Linked DNA regions of Arabidopsis thaliana. The protein of the gene in region 2 interacts with the protein of the main gene of each other region in a pairwise test. Each region holds a gene or a part of one and is shown on either strand. Other genes may lie near its edges.

What was found.
Region 1: the proteins of bHLH39 (region 2) and FRU interact in binary tests that used the Arabidopsis thaliana proteins (3 or more experiments, as listed by UniProt).

What each region holds. Positions count from the first base shown.
Region 1 is NC_003071.7:12,002,364-12,006,293, forward strand, and holds FRU (FER-like regulator of iron uptake), read left to right. Parts: upstream 1-2,294; 5' UTR 2,295-2,349; coding exon 2,350-2,826; intron 2,827-2,907; coding exon 2,908-3,108; intron 3,109-3,183; coding exon 3,184-3,360; intron 3,361-3,443; coding exon 3,444-3,545; 3' UTR 3,546-3,632; coding exon of another isoform or gene 3,633-3,640; 3' UTR 3,641-3,913; downstream 3,914-3,930. UniProt on the Arabidopsis thaliana protein: Transcription factor. Essential protein involved in iron uptake responses. Regulates FRO2 at the level of mRNA accumulation and IRT1 at the level of protein accumulation. Confers enhanced iron mobilization responses at low iron supply.
Region 2 is NC_003074.8:21,085,967-21,089,896, forward strand, and holds bHLH39 (basic helix-loop-helix (bHLH) DNA-binding superfamily protein), read right to left. Parts: upstream 1,745-3,930; 5' UTR 1,529-1,744; coding exon 1,202-1,528; intron 1,096-1,201; coding exon 646-1,095; 3' UTR 424-645; downstream 1-423. Other genes in the region: EDA7 (embryo sac development arrest 7), read right to left, coding at 2,392-2,788, 2,879-3,084, 3,185-3,370, 3,464-3,556, 3,664-3,822, 3,920-3,930.

The DNA.
Region 1 (3,930 bases), on a different chromosome or scaffold from region 2:
AAAGTTTCATAAAAAGGATAGAAAGATTTCAGAGAGAGCACTAAATGTTGGTATTGGGCAGAGAAAAGGTGTAAGTAAATTGAGAAAAAAAAGTTTGGTAACAAAAGGTATTAATGTTTTGATGTGATGTGAGATGAGAAGAAGATGGATGGACCACTGTTACTGATTGGTGTGGTCATTGTTTACTGATTGGTGTGGTCATTGGTAGGTTTGGTTTTATTAGTGAATCCATGCCATTTCGGTTTTCAAAATTGTAACCGATAGTTACGGTTATCTGAAAATCTGACACAATACTTTATTGATGTTCATGAGTCATGACTTATCCGCTGTTGTGTTTCTAAAGATGTGCTGATAAGTCACATAAAAATTGAATTTGTTCCATGTCTGTATAGAGAAGAAAAGGAGTTTTCATATTTTCCCCATTTTTGTTGGGGTGAACAAATTAAAAGTTATCTGCTAGTTGACATGCATAAAGGTTAGAGGAAAAAGAAAAGGAAAAAAGAAAAAAGTTTGTCAAAATATTTTGCTTCATAAGTTTGTGACTTATTCAGAGTTATGTTTCTAAAGATGTGATAGGTACAGCAAAATTGTATTTGTTCCAAATGTCAATTAGTGAAGAAAAGAAAAAGAGTTGTCATATTTGTTGGAGTACTGAAAGATAATCATGTGGCAAAAAAAAAACGAAATAGGAAGAATTTCAGTAAAAATTATGCTAGCTTCACATGTATCAAATATATTTGAACCAAAGTATGCCATATTCATGAATTGTTTTTACAACAATTTTTATTTGTTTTAAACTCTAGAGGCTATATGTGAAAAAAAATTTTACAGCAAAAATAAGATTATATCAGAAACATTACAGACCGAAATTTACAGCCACGATCTAACCAAACATCTACTAAATTGACATAATAGCATTATTCAAATATTTATTTGGAAATTGGTTGATGTTTTTGAAAGTTGTGGAGTATCCCAAAAATCCAATGTTGCTCAAAAGTTCAGTTTCTCTAATAAATTCAACACCTAGATGGAATCTATAATTGGTTGACTTTTTTTTTTTTTTTTTTTTTACAGTTATATACCTGAAAAAATATTCCAACTTGAAATATTATAAAGAGTTGATTTTTGTCCTAACCGGCCAAGACTTTAATATTTTATACTGTCTTTCTTTGCTATCCTTTGTTTGTTTGTTGAGACAAGAACGAAAACCGTGCATTGAACAGGCTTCTTCATAATTTAATTGCGGTTTATCCTTAAATGATTTGAAAAATGGAAATGCATTTATCAAAAATAAAAGAAAATAATTGAAATGCTATTATATTCCAGAGTTGGTTTGTTATTTGAAAATTATGCTGGTTTAAGTTTATATTTGAAATTAATTTTGGCCGTTTTTCTACAAAACATATTTATCATATTGGAGTACTTTTTAAATACACTAACATAAAAATGTTGAGAAAAACTTTTGTTAAAATTCTAGCTTGTGACAACTAAACCAGTTGACATCTACAGTTGTAATAAGCCGATTGCAAATTAATTCCTAACATTTTAATAAACAAGAATATATGTGGATCTAAATTCAAAAATATAAACAGTACACTAACATTTGTACGTCTAATATCGTAGTAAACTTTTACTTATGAACACCTTTTTAATACGGTCTGATCGATTTATTTATTTATATAACCAAAACTCATATATATTCATAAACTAAATTATATAGTAACAGGATATATTATGAGCTTAATATACATGCTATATGCCTATATAAGGTCTTAATAACCAAAACTCATAATAATGTATTCATAAACTAAATTATATAGTAATATTTTTGGTATATTTTATAACTTTAAAAAACTCTAAATATTTGTGGTATTTTTGAAAATGGATAAAAATGATATTTTTGGAAAGTAGTATAATTTTAAAAAACTTCTCCCAATAAAGACATGACCAAAAATGTGTGTTATTTCTATATATATTTTTTTTTTTTTTTGATCAACATATACTCTTGTTTCTAATCTGCATTCCCTCCACCACAAAAAAAAATTCAAATGATAAAATATAAAGAAGAACAATGTGGAAATATAATTGTCATGCAACACGACAAATTAATCATTCGAGTAACATAATTTATACATATAATATACAGGTCATGCATGACATTACAAGACGTAACTGAATAAACTAATATCAACCAACTATCAAGAGTACATTTCTTTAAATTTGTTTTAATTGATTTCTTAACTTATTATGTTAATTAATACAGTTTATTTCATACTCACTCTATTATATAAACTCATTTTGTCTCTCTTTCGTTGTCAACAACTTTTCTTCATTGACAAAAACACACAAATGGAAGGAAGAGTCAACGCTCTGTCAAACATAAACGATCTCGAACTTCACAATTTCTTGGTCGATCCAAACTTCGATCAGTTCATAAACCTCATAAGAGGAGATCATCAAACCATTGACGAAAACCCAGTTCTTGATTTCGATCTTGGTCCATTACAAAACAGCCCCTGTTTCATAGACGAGAACCAGTTCATCCCAACACCTGTCGATGACCTCTTCGACGAATTGCCTGACTTAGACTCCAACGTTGCTGAATCATTCCGTAGCTTCGACGGTGATAGTGTTAGAGCCGGTGGTGAAGAAGATGAAGAAGATTACAACGACGGTGATGATTCTTCAGCCACTACTACGAATAATGATGGGACCCGTAAGACGAAGACTGATCGGTCTAGGACTTTGATCTCTGAGAGAAGAAGGAGAGGGCGTATGAAGGATAAGCTTTATGCATTGAGATCTCTTGTTCCCAATATTACTAAGGTAAGTCACAACATTTTCAAGATTTGGTAATGACTAATGAAACTGTAAATATTGATGAAGTATGTGTGTGTTGGCATTTAGATGGATAAAGCATCCATTGTTGGAGATGCAGTGTTGTATGTTCAAGAACTTCAGTCACAAGCGAAGAAACTCAAATCCGATATCGCGGGTCTTGAAGCTTCTTTAAACTCTACTGGAGGGTACCAAGAACATGCTCCTGATGCTCAAAAGACTCAACCTTTTCGCGGTATCAATCCTCCTGCTTCCAAAAAAATCATTCAGGTAATAACCTAAAAAAACCAATCAATCTTCTTGAAACATCAAAGTGTTTAAAGTTTGTATGTTTTGTTGTGTTAGATGGATGTTATACAAGTGGAGGAGAAAGGGTTTTATGTGAGATTGGTGTGTAACAAAGGAGAAGGTGTTGCTCCATCTCTTTACAAGTCTTTGGAGTCTCTTACAAGTTTCCAAGTGCAGAACTCTAACCTAAGCTCTCCTTCTCCGGACACATACCTCTTAACATATACCTTAGATGTAAATCAACTTGTGCCCTTTTACTTTGTTTTGTTTCCGAGTATACCGTTTACTTACCGAGTTTTCTTGTGTGGTGGAAACAGGGGACATGCTTCGAACAGAGCTTAAACTTGCCTAACCTGAAGCTGTGGATCACTGGATCACTTTTAAATCAAGGTTTTGAATTCATCAAGTCATTTACTTGATTCTATAACGCTTGCTCTAACGTGAGTCAAATCCGGTTCTGCACTATATTGATTGTGTACCTTTCTTACATGTTTCATAACTTCCAGGGCTCTAATTTCTATTCTAGTGATGATGTAACCGAGATTGTTGATTCTCTATTGAATAAACACCATGTTATATAGTAATTTAGCGACAAATTGTATGGTTAAATGAAGTAATATTTATGTTTTGTTTATAGTCTCAAGTCTTAAGTTTCTTTTGCTTTGATATATCACGTTTTGGTTCATTGGCTGTATTATTGCTTTGTTGTTGCAAGACCATTCACATCTTGATTCTATGTATTGTTCTCTGTTTGATTGGTAAAAGAATAAAGAATTTTAACCCCGAGAAAGCAGTACAGACGAC
Region 2 (3,930 bases):
CCAAAGATTTAACTCTTTCAAAACCAATACTCCAAACTTTTTTCTGTGATGCCACTCTGATTAAAAAAACTGCCTCTAGTATATAATAACTCCAAGATCAATGGATAACCCTTTGACAAAAAAAGGATCAATGGATAACCACATGGCTTCTCATTTATCATTTATCCTAATAAATCTTAATTAACTCTTTAATGTCACCACAATCTATTAATTCATAAGTGCAACTTGGCTTAATTACATAACTTATCTTCTAAATTGGAGCCCATAGACTCTTTACTATAATGTTGCCCACAAGTAGTGATATATAGTAGTTGTTAATAAAATACCCTCTTTTGTCTTTTCTCGTTTTTATATTCTATTGATACACCAAAACATCACTAACTCTAGTCTTAACTGGATATAAATAACAAGATATACATAAACAAATTTTTTATTAGTAACATTCAAAGTCTAGGCGAAAATTAAAGTTTATAGCTGTAACATGAACTTCATAATAATCAGTTTATACTTAATAGCATAACTAATCGATCATTGACTTCGACCAAAAAAACGAAACAACTCGACTACAACGCTTTGTCAAGAATGTTAGATTTCGAAGAGAAAAAGGACGACATAACATAACTATAAAGAAACAAGACCAAATTCTCATATATATGAGTTTCCACATTCCTCATACAAGTACAACATCCTCTGACTTAACTCTTCGCAATTCAGCTTGTAATTTTCAATCTTCTCCACTTGTAAATGCAAAGTGTAGAAAAGCCTTTCTCCTTGAGACCTTGAAGATGACATGTCCACAAGAACAAACCTATCTTCTTCTAACCCACTTAAAACATTAGATATCGAAAAGTTATGAATCTTGGACGATGAGATTTGGACCATCACTTCGTTGTCACCAAGCCTAGTCGCAGAAACGGTCGAGATATAATTCGCGACGGCCTTTGGTGGCTGCTTAACGTAACATTCAGTGTTTCTTTGACCTGAAATTTGCACCAAGAGCTCTTCCTTCTTTTTTATTAGCTTCTTCACTTGCTCTTGCAGCTCTGGTATGTACTTCAAGCTTCGAGAAACCGTCGCAGGAATGCTTAGCTTCTTCTGCAAGAAAGGAAAGAAAAAAGGTTTAACGCAGTATTCTTCTTCTAAATTGTATAGATGCATAAACTATAACGGGTCTAATCAATGAGTCGGAGTAGCTTCTTACCGATTGGCCAGAGGCAGGAAGACATGAACGGAGAGATGAGAACAAAGAGTTAATTTTCCTGCGACGGTCACGCTCACTAGCATTGTGATTAAGCTTCTTGACGACCACCGGATTGTTGTCTATTTCATTTCCCTCCGACGAAACAGAAACACCAAAGCTATTCTGATGTTGAGTCACCGCTGTAACAGCTCCATAAGTCTCCTCCGGTACCGGAAAATCAAGAAACCCGCCGTTGTTGAGGATATCTCCGGCGAGGTAGTAGCTGTCGTACTCTCCCGTTGATGGCCACCCAAAGTTTGGAAACAATGGAGGTACTAATGCACACATTTTTGCTTACTAAGGACAAGTATTGTAGATTCTGTTTTCTCTAGATGCTTGGAAGCTGCTTTGGTTAGGATTGTTCTGAACTTAGGTAGAATATTATTGTCCAACGTATATATAATGCGGATATATACAATTCAATATATCAATCTCTATGGTTAAGTATAAATTAACAAACTATACTATTATACAACCAAAACTTTAAAAATTCGCAAACTATATTATAAGTGTTATACGACTTGTACTATAAAGAAGAATGTTTGGATCTGAGGACGTAGGTCGACACATGCCAAAGCCTATGTCCCACGGGTGAACAAGGTCTAGTCACAAGTAGACTGGCTATATAAAAAATTAAAGAAGAATATTACATGTATTAAGTATTAGAGTTTACATATTGAAAGATGACTCAGCCTGAAGAAATTGTGGAAGACGCGTGTAAATCAGATTCAGGCGTCTTCCTAGTCCCAAACACTTGGATGTTGTAAGCATATACATAAGCAATTCTCATGTTGTAAGCATATACATAAGCATTTTATTTATTTGTTGACCTCCCAAAAAAAAAAACCAGAAGCATCTTCTTTAATTACTTTATTAAATCAATGTTAGCTTTGTTAATTTAGCTATTAACAACCCTCGGTCGGTGATTTATCATGCGGATTGATAAATCATTATCGAACTAGGGTCAACTTTAGGTCATCCTCTTTCCAATCAATTACCTTTAGCCTCAAGTAAGCAAATTCTGTTGTGCTGATTGAAGACCAGGTCAAAAATATTCCAAAATTGTATATGTGATCAATTAAGTTTCAAGATTCTCAATAGTAGGTGACACATTTTTCAAATCTAATAAAGCCCCTGAAAAGCTACATTTATCATTGCCGGCCTCTTCCACGCCCACCACCACGGCCACCTTTTCCCCGGGAACCGCCGCCTCCTCTCCCTCTAAAACCACCACCTCCTCTACCTCTGAAACCGCCTCTAATATTTGTTGATTTCAGTCCAAGAGACTGAACTCCTCTCCTCTTGTTTCTTTGCCCATCTTCATACTCATCGTCTCTATCTTCTTTGTACTTTGATGACCCTCTCGCCTTGAAAGAAAACTCCCGTGATCCTCCAGGACCGAATTTGATATCTTTCGAGCCTCCAAAGTTGCCACGCCGGTTCTCTATAGCCTTGACACGCTCGCCCATAGGAAGACTATCTTCTTTAGCCAGTGAAGTGCGGTTGTGATAAGCTGCGGCATGCCGCTCATCTTTCACTTCATACAACCTGACACCAAATCATCCACATCAGAAAACAAAAGAATCAAGATAGAATGTGTCAAATGTAGATCCTGGAATGCAGTCAAAAGACACTAACTTCGGAGTTCTCGCTTTCTTGCTTGGCCTAGTTGCGTCTCCATCGTCGGCCTCGTCATCTGAAGGCTGTGATGCATCAGAATCACTGTTCTCGTCATCATCTGATACAGCTTCAAAGTGTTCATCTAACAGAGAAGGTTGCTTCTTCGAAGAAGCAACAGGGTGTAGGACACCATATTCATATGAGTCCTTATCAATTTGGAAGTCCTGAAAACCAAAAGGAGATTCCCAAGAATACGTTTGATACGATGTGAAATAGAGCAATAAAAAGATCAAACAAAAAAAGTTGAAAAGAATATGTTAATACCGGATTTTGGAACATCGAACCAAACCGACCATCTACGAAATGCTCGTCAGTAAGTATGGGTTTCTTCTTTTTCAGCACTTTCTTGGTGGCCTCCCCATCCTCGGCAGTTTTATTTTCCTCCTCTGATTCGTCCCCATGAAGCCTTGCTGCAAGGTCTCGGTTAACCTTTGGCAACCGTCTCTTTTTCTGAAGGAAGCACAAGAGAAACAGATGTGTATGTAAGTAGCCGGTAAACAAACAAATGGTGAACGTATAGCTGCTAAGGTTTTAAATACTAACTGTGATTCTCTGCGTACGCTGCTCTTCTAACTTCTCTTGCTTCCTACGTTCTAAGTAATCATCAAATGCAAAAGGTTCAATCACTGCTAAAGCCTGTAAAAAGAAAGGAAGAAACATTATAGAGACTATTCCAATTTGACCCGAAAAAAAAAAAAGACTTTTCTGATGGTATAAGTATTATGAAAATGTTAAGGACTCACCTTTTTGTACAAATGGTAATTAATAAAATATCCATGCATAGATGCTTTCAAAAGATCTGTTCCAATCAAATGAGTTAGCTGCAACTTCTCCAGATCTTCCATTGCCAAAAATTTGTAATTATCATAAATAGTTGTCTGTGCACTTTCCTCCAACTCTTCCTGAGAACAATATTAAACACAAGAAACGTGTTTGTAACAATGGTGACATCACTGGAATGGTAAACCTGTAAAAGGATAGGAAGAATTTTCAATTTACCGTTAGATTTT